Caenorhabditis elegans: one gene and its partners. The protein of the gene in region 1 interacts with the protein of each later gene in a pairwise test. Each region holds a gene or a part of one and is shown on either strand. Other genes may lie near its edges.

Evidence for each region.
Region 2: the proteins of gsk-3 (region 1) and axl-1 interact in binary tests that used the Caenorhabditis elegans proteins (3 or more experiments, as listed by UniProt).
Region 3: the proteins of gsk-3 (region 1) and pry-1 interact in binary tests that used the Caenorhabditis elegans proteins (3 or more experiments, as listed by UniProt).

The regions. Positions count from the first base shown.
Region 1 is NC_003279.8:12,817,140-12,820,896, forward strand, and holds the start of gsk-3 (Glycogen synthase kinase-3), read left to right. Parts: upstream 1-2,076; 5' UTR 2,077-2,222; coding exon 2,223-2,315; intron 2,316-3,395; coding exon 3,396-3,664; intron 3,665-3,757.
Region 2 is NC_003279.8:8,511,857-8,515,613, reverse strand, and holds the start of axl-1 (Axin-like protein 1), read right to left. Parts: upstream 1,715-3,757; 5' UTR 1,696-1,714; coding exon 1,624-1,695; intron 1,490-1,623; coding exon 1,289-1,489; intron 394-1,288; exon of another isoform or gene 289-393; coding exon of another isoform or gene 223-288; intron 1-222. Other genes in the region: K02B12.2 (Myb_DNA-bind_3 domain-containing protein), read left to right, coding at 3,263-3,326, 3,380-3,757. UniProt on the Caenorhabditis elegans protein: Works in parallel with pry-1 in negatively regulating bar-1 signaling in vulval precursor cells and Q neuroblasts. Shown to have a role in excretory cell development.
Region 3 is NC_003279.8:14,177,683-14,181,439, reverse strand, and holds the start of pry-1 (Axin-like protein pry-1), read left to right. Parts: upstream 1-2,079; 5' UTR 2,080-2,083; coding exon 2,084-2,188; intron 2,189-3,084; coding exon 3,085-3,147; intron 3,148-3,206; coding exon 3,207-3,296; intron 3,297-3,341; coding exon 3,342-3,479; intron 3,480-3,757. UniProt on the Caenorhabditis elegans protein: Works in parallel with axl-1 in negatively regulating bar-1 signaling in vulval precursor cells and Q neuroblasts. Inhibits Wnt signaling, which affects tissue specific expression of Hox genes, egl-5, lin-39 and mab-5.

The DNA of each region.
Region 1 (3,757 bases):
TTCCTATATCTATTTTGAACAGTAAGCAAATTCTATGAAAATACTTAAAGAAAACGGGAAAAAATTTCAAAACGGCACATTTCCGGCAAACGGCAAATCGGCAAATTACCGAGAATGAAAAATTCCGGCAAATCCGCAAACCGGCAAGTTCGCAAAAAAAATTGCCAAATTTCCGTCCACCCTTAATTGGACATTCCCGACATTGCCGAATTTCAACATTTCCGATACAAAAATAAATATAAAATCAGTATAGAATGAAAATAGAAACCATGGGAACATTGAATATGCTTATTTCCACATTGATAGCGCATTTCTTCTTCTTCTTTTTTCTTTTTCATTTCCTTTTTCTTCTCCATCTCACCATATTTTTGCCCATTTCCTCCATCAGACACGCGCTCGCGCTCACTCGCTCACCACACTCAATTTTAGCTGTTTTTCCTTCTTTTCCACCCCCTCATATTGACTGACACATATATATTATATATATATATATATATAAAGATACATATATGCAAATTGATGTTCGGCAAATTGACATTGTGCAATTTGCCGAACATGAAAATTTCCGGCAAACTGGCAAACCGGCAGTTTCCCGGAAAACAATTTTCCGAACGACAATTGCCAGTTTTCCGGTATATATATTTATATATTCCCTATTACGATCAATATAGAATCCTGTTTAGCCAAAATCTTTTTTGATTTTTCCCAAGGAACAACATTTTAAAAAAATACGTACCTTTTTATTGCCACGAAATTTAATTGGAAAAAATCAATTTTGAAATAAAATGTATTTTTGTATTTATATAAAAAGCAATTCTATTTATTTTTAAAACGTGTTGGATTAGTTTTTTAAAATAAAAAAAACAACACCGAAATTTAGTCATTTTTCGTTCAATCGTTAGTGAGAAGCGGTGAGTTTTGGCGATTTTGAGCATTTTCCGTTGAAAATATGAGTAATTTCCTATTAAACTGGTTATTTCGATCGCGCTAGTGAAATTTCTTGAAATTGTGTAGCAAAATGGGCTTACATGCTATTTTAAGATGAGCAATTGAAGCATTTTATTTTGATTCAGTCAGAATTTTGAAATACTTACGAAAATAGCAATTATATCAATTCCAAATCAAAAAATATGGTACTTATGGGTTTCGTTCCCCCCAAAATGATTTCCATATTTTCTAATTGATACGTGAACTTTTTTTTCATTCCCAGGCTTAGGGAAATGATTTTCTAAGCCTTGTAAAAATGAAAACAGTATTAAAATAAACAATAACGTGTGGATTAAAATTAAAAAGGTAGTGTTGAATAATTAAAAATCATTTTGGGGGGAACGAAACCCATAAGTACCAAAAATATAGTTTCTTCTAGAAATATATTTTTTATTGCCGCTAAATTTAGAAAAATTCAATTTCGAATGAATATGTATTTATTTATTTTGAAAAAAACGTACATTAAAACGTGTCGGATTAGATTTTACTTCCCTTTTTTTAATTTTAAAATTCAAAAAATTCATTTCTATATTTAAAAATTTGGCAGTTTTGGCGTTTCCCTTTTATTACAGTGAGTTAGCCAACTTTTTCGAGCTAATAACATTACATTAAGCTTTAGAAAAAACTTTAGAAGTTTTGAGAAATACTACTTTTAAAACTTCGATTTTTTCAATTTTTGGCTAAATTCTATTCTAGTTTGAATATCCTCCAAAATGAGAGCTCCCCTACGACTATTTTGGATTTTTTGAAGCGAATCCTAAAAAAATGGGCTGAAAATGCCAAAAATCGTCTAATTTCCAGTAAAGTTTTTTGGCGAAATCCATATTTAACAGCTCTTTAATAGTCCTACAAATTCGACAAATTGCCGATTCGTCGGAAATTGGCCGGTTTACCGATTTGCCAGAAAAAGTCGTTTGCCGCCCACCCCTGTTCCCACTTTGGCTAGGAATTCCTAAAAGTTTATCGAATTTTGAAATGTTACTCCATTTCACCTCATATTTGCCTTAAATATCACCCATTTTTATACGTTTCCTCGTATTTTTCAAACCCAACGCCCAAATGAAATATTTTATTATTTTTTATTTTCAGGTGAATAGCCTCATTCTCTCCGTTTTCCCTCTCAAAAAACCACATCATATCCTCATCATCTAATCTCTGGCTCTTCTCATTTATTGGACAGAGCTCATATATACACACACACACACAAGAATCAAATCAATCAGTAGTGTGGTGTGATGAATAAGCAGTTACTATCGTGCTCGCTGAAAAGCGGAAAACAAGTGACGATGGTCGTCGCGTCAGTCGCCACGGATGGTGTTGATCAGCAGGTTGGTTTTGAGTGAGGAAATTTTAATTTTCTCGGAGAAATTTGGATGAAAAGAAGTTGGATATCAGAGGTGGGCGGGTATTTTTTTCGGATATTTTCTAATAATGAATTTATCAATAAGTATTGATGTAGTTATTCTGGAAAAAATGTATCCGAACAAAAGAGTAACTATTAAGCAACATTTTAATATGATAAAACCTAAAAAAATTCTACAAGTTTTCTGTATAAACGATATGCAAGTCCATTATCCGATATCCGTAATATCCGTAATATCCGATTGCTTAATAGTTACTCTTTTGTTCGGATACATTTCTTCCAGAATAACTACATCAATACTTATTGATAAATTCATTATTAGAAAATATCCGAAAAAATATCCGCCCACCTCTGGTGGAAATGCATGAAAATGAGGATTTTCACAAAAAAAAACTCTTTGGAAGTGATACAAATATATTTTTCGATATTTAGTACAACACAATAAATGAGTTATTACGTGTTTATCCACAGATAAGAAAAATCGCCATATCTGCCGCGCAAATGAACCCGCGGGAAGAGACAAAACTACTGTAGTTTTTAACCAATTTGTGTAGATTTACGAGCTATTGCGTCATCGTTGAATTTAATTTTGAGCCGCAATTTTTAATTTTCAGGCGTGTTTCACTCTTTTTTATATTGAAATTTATCTATTTATTGAATAAATCTTAAAAGAAAACACAAAAAAATTAGAAAAACGCCTGCAAATTAAATTCAACGATGACGCAATAGCTCGTAAATCTACACAAATTGGTTAAAAACTACAGTAGTTTTATCTCTTCCCGCGGGTTCATTTGCGCGGCAGATATGGCGATTTTTCTCATCTGTGGATAAACACGTAATAAATAGGTTGACAAAATTGTTCTCCTTTTCCTCGTGGAGTACACGATTTTACTCAAGCACTTAAAATATCAATTTCTTCAAAAAAAAAAAAAGGAAATTTGCTGGAAAACTAGCTGATAAAATGTGAAAAAATTATTATTAAAAAATCTCCAAACGAAAAAAAACACTGTAATTCAAATTTTAATTAAAAAAAAATGTATTGTAGGTTGAAATCTCGTACTACGATCAGAAAGTGATTGGAAATGGATCATTCGGAGTGGTATTCCTTGCCAAACTCTCTACAACAAATGAAATGGTTGCAATCAAGAAAGTTCTTCAGGACAAACGATTCAAGAATCGTGAACTACAGATTATGCGAAAATTGAATCATCCAAATATCGTGAAGCTCAAATACTTTTTCTATTCGAGCGGCGAGAAGAAGGATGAACTCTACTTGAATTTGATTCTCGAATATGTTCCTGAAACTGTCTACAGGTTATTTTTATTAGGATTTTTAAAAATTTCTGGAAAATTTCAGTTTTTAGCGGAATTTTTTTGTTCAAAAATAAAGAGAATTTCTTATTTAAA
Region 2 (3,757 bases), 4.3 Mb from region 1:
CGACTGATATATCTACGTCCATTTTTTTGAAAATTTAAATATTTTTAAAATGCCGGATCTGAAACTTTTAGGAAAATTTTAGGAAGGTGACCCTACGGCAATGCTCGAAAATAGTCGGAACTGTAAAATCTTTTAACGAGCGATTTTTCATAAAGCAGTATTTTAATAAATATGAAATTACTAGAAAAAGTATAAAAATTGAAACAATAATCAATTACTCACATCAATTGAACCTTCATCATTATAATGGGGTGTGAAATAATTCCACCGTCTCGACATTGTAGCCATGGAGGTAACAAAATCAAAAACTAATAAATATCTATTTGAAGAAATGAAGCACTTCTTCTCTTTGTGTTGACCAACACTTTCAAGCCTAATGACGTGTCAACCTGTGTTGATCTACACTAAGAATTTGTGTTAAGTGTCCTCACTGTGTCTTTTGTGTGTATGCACATGGTACTTGACAGGTATCCGAAGAAAAGAACTGCCAAACTGTTTCTCTTCTTTTTTATCACTTGAAAGAACAGAGAACACGCCCGAGAAATGTTCGGAGAGATGAAAAAATCCTGCGGTTCTACGGAAAAACGGCTGCCTAAATTTGAGTAAATATTCCAAAGTAAAGGTAAAGTATGGCAAGTGGGGTAGTTTTCAAAAAACTACTCCCGTGGTGCTAGAATGAATGATTATCATATCAAAACCTTCTTTGATTTTTTTAGGTTATGTTTTAGTTATTAGTATTTGAACATTGTAGAGATTTGAATCAGGTTTCTTAGGACAAGAAATCAAAAAACAATTTTATTCAAAACTCCGATCGAAAACTTTTGCGAAGTTTTTAAAGTAATTTTTGTAATTTTTTAATAATATTGAAAGCTTGTAAATGCAAAAAAAACGGAGAAAAAAATGTACAGTTTAGGAAACAAAATTAGCATCAAGGCTCAAAATCAGGAGAAAACGAAAAGTTGACCACATTTTTGTTCAAAAATTTCGATTTTGCTGGATTTGTTGATTTTGACCTAGAATATTCGCAGGGAAACAATTTATTGATTTTTCATAACTTCTGGACTCCAAAAATGTTGCCCACATCTGATTCGGACGTGCAGGAATGTTCAGAAGTTATCAAAAGTACAATTTTTGAAAATTTGACTGAAATTTTCGAAATATCAAAAATGGAGTTATTAAATTAAATATTTGGGCATGCTTGACTATCATATAAGTATTTTTTACAAATATTCCAACCGACGATATTTCAACTGACTAGACAAACATTAACAAGTATATTGATCATTACCTCATGTACCCGTGTGGAGATCTTAGTGCGTATTGAATCACCGATGACGTGGCATGTTCCAGTATTCAAACTGACGTATTTTCGATGAATATGCCTAGCCAATTTTAAAAGAGATAGAGATGGAGAACCAGTTTTCAGTTTGGATTCAAAATCCAAAATTGACGTGTACAGGGTTATCGAATCGGCGTTCCGCGATTCTTCCTAGAACATGATTTAATTATTTGGCAGGAAATTTAATTATATTTACATAGATTCATAAATTAAAAAAATTAATTTTCAGAACGTAATTACTGTATACAATACGATTTTTCCAAACGATACAACGATTACTCTACCTTTTGACACCATTTGGCAAATGCGGTATCATGAAGAACTCGATCAATGGAGAATTTCGATCGCATCGTCATTATTTCTTCGTTTCATACTGAAAGTTTTGTATTTTACCCATGTAAGATCATTTATCAACAAGAAAAACTTGGGTTAAAAATGATTAAATATTTGAAGTATGGGTGGAGATTGAGCAAATGCGCGAAAAAAACGTCGAAATGTTAGACGGAAAGAGATGAGATATTGTGTCAAACCGATCGAGAGCCCTACCGTCTTGGCAAATAAATTGACGATAGAGGGAGAGAATGAGTGTGGAGACAGGAAATGGAGAAATTTGTGTTCAAGTCTCGTAAAATAAGGGTTTAAAATGTTATAGCACGATTTAGAGTATATAGCTGAAAAGTCTATATAAAAAAAATTCTGCCAAAATGCAAGCTTTCTAGTAGAGTTCAATATTTGGAAGGATTTTCTAACTTTTTCAATTCGGGAATTGATGGTTATCACCTTGTTTATTCTAAAGTAGTCTTAAAACTGAAGTTATAAAAGCCGTGGGTTTCTTGTTTTGATTTGAAATTTCTTCACTTTATTAATTATTGAAAACTCGCTTTTTATCTCGAATGCGTCTATCGCGAGAAGTTGGCATATCAGTAAAAGTGGGGGCTACTTCCTTCGGAATTCTTACTGGAAAGAATGTCTTTCGTGACGTTAAACTGTCCGAAACACTTATTGTCACTATTTTCAATTTTTCTAAAACTAAGAGCACCGATTTCTGAAAGAAAACATGTAGTAAAATTCGATAAATATTGATGTATCAATTTTTAAATTGTTAAAATATAAAACCATGGAATGCATAGCGAATGTGGGCATATAGCAGTTTTGAAATTTCCATAATCAAGGAGTGTGTCGTTTCGCGCGAGAAGTTGACCTTCGATGGATTGACTCACTTACTTTTACATTCAGCCGACACAAATGAACTGACAGATGTGGGAACAGATGGGGATGGATGTACTCTTCAACAGTACACACATGATATAACTGAAATTGACGAATTTGATATTATGACAGTATATTACTCAATTCTTTGCATATAAAAATGTCTACTCTGACTAGAAAACCTTTTTTGGTGTCCAGAGAGTTTGGGATCGAATGATATACTTTCTGAAAACAATAGAAGTTTCGAATTGAAAGTAAAGTGTCTTTTGTGCATTTGGGGTGAACTCCGTAGTTTAGTATAATTTTGGAATTTCTATTATTGGGAAAAGTGTCGAAGGCGGGCAAGAGCACTGATGACCTTATAGGCCACCATTGAACTCTTCCGGAATGTTATCAACAACTGATATCGAACTACACTCATTTCCTGGATTCCATTATAATTATCTTTTCCCTTAAAATCTCTGCTCTCGAGAATGTTTTCGTGCACATGGTAGTCGACGGATTAGATAAGAGACATTGAAAGGGAGAGACTAATTATAGACAGGTGTATTGAGAGACTCTATGGTGGAAGAACGGACCTTCCTAAAGGTTTAGAGCAACAAATCGATCGGTTTTGAGCACCATTGCATGACACTCATAGATGTAGTCATTTGAATCTTTCTACATTCGATAGTTATCCAATTTTTTGAACAGTTCTGATTTTTCAACAAAAAAATGATTATGGCCGATGAATCTGTGGATCAAATGAGAATCGAGGAATTTCTAGTGATAGTTAATCGTAAGTTATTTTATTTTTCTTTACAAGATTCCCAATAAATATCCGTATTATAGATTACACTACTCATGTAAAGTCTACAACCGATCTAAGCAAATGCGGGAATTGCACATGGGTTCTTCCGAAATTGGATGCACTTCAGAAGAAAATGATCGATTATCTTCAATACAGAAAAGATGATGAGGATACAATTGAATGGAATACACTTATTATCGAACTATTAGATATGCCAGATGAGCACAACGCAGAGGATATTCATAGCAAACCGTCACCAGCGAAAAAGAGAAAATCAGAAGAAGTCAAACCAAAAATTGAGGCAAAAATCGAAAAGAAAGTTGCGCGTGAAGAGACGAAACTTATGGAATCTTCAGATAAAATTGATAAAGCAATTGAAAGTCTTGTTGCTGAAACTGAGAATCAATACGATCCACTGG
Region 3 (3,757 bases), 1.4 Mb from region 1:
GATTTGTGAAGATCTCCGCCAATAAAAAACATCAAAAAGTGCCGCTTCTTCAAGGTTTTTCACAATTTTTGGCGGCGGGGAGAGGAGGCGCAGCAAGTCGGAGTGGACGGCGGGCTGGAGAGAAATATGAATAAATCGACAAGACGCAGGCACGTGTCGGCGAACATCAAAGAGTCGCTGGTTTTGAAGAAGGGGGCGCCTCCATTCTCACACCGACCGCCCGAGAAGAAGAGAGAGGAGGCACTTCACCCCCCAATTCTCTTTTCCTTCTCCTTTTCTCTTTACCCCCCTTGATTTTCCTACCCCCATCTTTTTCCTAAATCCTTCTGTTTTACCCATTTTCCTTTTTAGACCATCTTTGGGACTATAATATTTGCTTTGAAAACTGGAAAATTATATGAAAAATCCAGTTTTTAAATTTATTTTAGGCTCAGTTTAGGCCAAACTATTTTAGGTCTTTTTTAGGCGTAAAAATTTGAAAATTTTTAGACTCGGTTTAGGTCAAACCATTTCATGGCCAAATTTCGGCTTGAAATCTAAAAAAAATTACGGTAAAATCTTATTTTTTGAAATGTTTGAAAACTCAAAATATTCCAAGAAAAAAAAAACTAGTTTTACAACATTTTTCTGGGTTTTCTTAAAATCCTTGTTGGGCTAAGAAATTTTAAACTAAGAAATTTTGCTGAAATCTTAAAAAAATTGTGTTGTTTGAGGTTTACTGGCCAAATTTTAGACTTTTTTTTTAATGGCGATAATTTCAAAAAAATCAAGTTTTTACAGCGTCACATTTTTTAAACATTTTTTAAGCTTAAACTATGAGATAGCAAAAAATTGTCTACTAACAAAATAATTACCGTAAAATTTCCTACATTTTATTAATAGCCAACTTTTCGATTGCTTCAGGCTCCACAGAGTTATAACGGTTTGAACTCAAGAGGCGCTAGGCTCCTTTTAACTTCAAACCTCTATAACTCTACAAATAAAAAAGCTAGCAAAAAATTGTTAACTATCAAAATAATTATCATAAACTTTCCTACATTTTATTTATTGGAAACTTTTTGATACCGTCATTTTCTGCAGAATTACAGGATTTTGAACTTGACCTCTACGCCTCCCTTGGCCCCCAGTTTTAACTTAAACCCCTATAACTCTGCACACAATGGTGCTAGCAAAACATTTGAACTGACAAAATAATTGCTATAAAACGTCCTACAATATGCTAGTTAACAACTTTTTGATGGCATCAGTCTCCGCAGAGTTACAGCTATTTGAACTTGACCTCTAAGCCTCCCTTGGCCCCCAGTTCCAACCTAAAAGCTCCATAACTCCGCAGAGAGCAGAGCTAGCAAAAAGTTGTCAACTAACAAAATAATCTACGTACAATTTTCTACATATATTCAATTTAAATTTTTCTGCTAGACCAACTTACCAGCAAGATCAACGCCCCTAAAGTTAGGGGCCCCTCCCGGTAGCCGGTCGAGCGTCCCCAGTAAACTCTTCCGGGGGCACCCGAAACAATGTTCACTCATCAATCGTTGTCATCTTTCTGGAGACATGTGTCTTATCTGTGTGTGTGTACTACTACTCTTCCCAATACACCCCATTACTCTCCGTCACTATCTCTGCGTCTCTCACCCCCGCCACTCTCTCGCTCTCGCCCATTCATTGAGTAAGCGAGGGGCCTCATTCCTTGATTATCAGCCACTGATAGGAACAATAAGACACCCATAGTTGTTCCATTTTTGCAATTAGAGAGGGAATAGTGACGCTTATAATATATTGTATATCCTATATCTTATCACAGTTTTTTTTTTTTTTTTTTGTGTATAGTTTTGGCCTATTTTATAGGTTTTGAGGGGGTCAAACTGCTAAGTTTAAATAAAATTTGTTTAATTTTCAGTAAAAGCGTCATTAGAAAAGTTTTGAACAAAAAATTGAAAAAAAAAATTTTGGCAAAAAAATTATTTTTTTAAAATTTTTTCAAAAAAAAATTTCCCTCGATTTTTCAAGTTTTTCTCTACTTTTTTTTTTGAATATTCTCTTATTTCAACATAATCATAAAATTCACCTCCTTTTCAGGTGCATGGAGACCCATCTCGGTTGGGCGCGAAGCCTGGAGGCCGTTCTATCCGATCGATCGGCACTCGACGCGTTTCAGGAATGGCTTATTGAGTACTCCTCGCCTCAGGTAACTTTTTTTTTGGGATTTTTCTGCGAAATTTGGATTTAGCTTGCCGAGAGCTTCAAAATAAGTATAATCATGACATTTTTACGATGATTTTGAAAATTTTTAGGTTTTGGCGCAAAATTTTTAGATTTTCTTTTGCTGCGGGACCCAAAGTTCCAATATTTGAAATTTTTACTTGTTTTCGGATGTAGCTTGTCAAGAGCTTCAAGATGAGTATAATTATGCCTAGGTTACTTCAAACTTGAAAGAATCTGGGTCTCACCGCGAAGGTTATTACTGTAGTCCCAAATTTTCGTGGCGAGACCCTAATTTTTCAACCTTTGCGGAACCTGGACATCATTATACTTATCTAAAAGCTGACAGCGAGCTGACTTCGAATTTTATAGTTTTGCAGGCGAAATCATAATTTTGTGAGAATTTTGACCAGTTACAAGGAAAGTCTGCGATTTCACGTTTTTTCGAAAATTTTTTGCGAAAATTTCAACTTTTTTTAATTTTCGAGATAAATTTCTCATAATTTAATCAATCTTTTCATGCGCTTTTGGAAAAGCATAATCATGACCACGTTTCGCAAAACGTTGGGTCCCACCACGCAACCCATGGGGTTCTGTAGTTGTTTGTCGTTGTGGGACCCCATAAAAATTAAATTTATTGAAATTCATACACAGCATCCTGAGAGCTTTGAAATAAGTATAATAGTCTAGGTTCCGTCAAAAAAAAGTTGGGTCTCACCACGAAATCTACTACTGTGGCCCCACATTTTCGTGGCGAGACCCAATTTTTTCAAACTTGACGGAACTCATGCATGATTATACTTATTTCAAAGCTCTCAGCAAGCTAAATTCAAATATTGACTTTAAATTTCCGAATTCTCTAAAAAAATAAGAAATTTTCAGTACCTCGACTTGTTCTTCGCAATCCGAGCATACGAACGAATGGCGTTGGAGGGAAAACCGGAGGTATTGATTTTTTTGCAACTTTTTTGGCAAATCGGGCAATATTTATCTATTTTTTTTAGAAATCCCAACTTTCCAAGTCAATATACTCGAAATTTTTGTCCTCTCGGACCGGAAACTGCGAAGCAATTCCCAAGCATTTTAGGGCTCCGGTAAGCTTTTCTTAAAATTTTTTAAAATCAAAAATTAATTTTTGGATTGGTGAAAAACTACGTCATGGCACCGAATTAGAGGATCGGGTATTCAGTCATTGTTCGAATTTTGTTCAAGAATTTTTAAGACGCCAACACGAGGAGTTTGTGGGCTCCGAAGAGTTTATTGAGGCTTTTAATAAGGTAAATTGTTTTTTTTTTTAATTGTGAAAATTTGAATTTAGCTCACTGAGAGCTTTAAAATAAGTATAATCATGCCTAAGTTCCGTCAAATTTGATAGAAGTTGGGTCTCACCACGAAAACCTACAGTAACCCAGGATTTTCTTGGCGAGACCGAGGTTGTTTGGAAAATTTACAGAATTTGCGAAACCTATGCATTCTTAATGTAATATCGGCGGTCTCAGTTCAGATTTTCAGAATTTTGGCGAAAATTTTAGGGTTTTCCAACAATTGGGTCCTA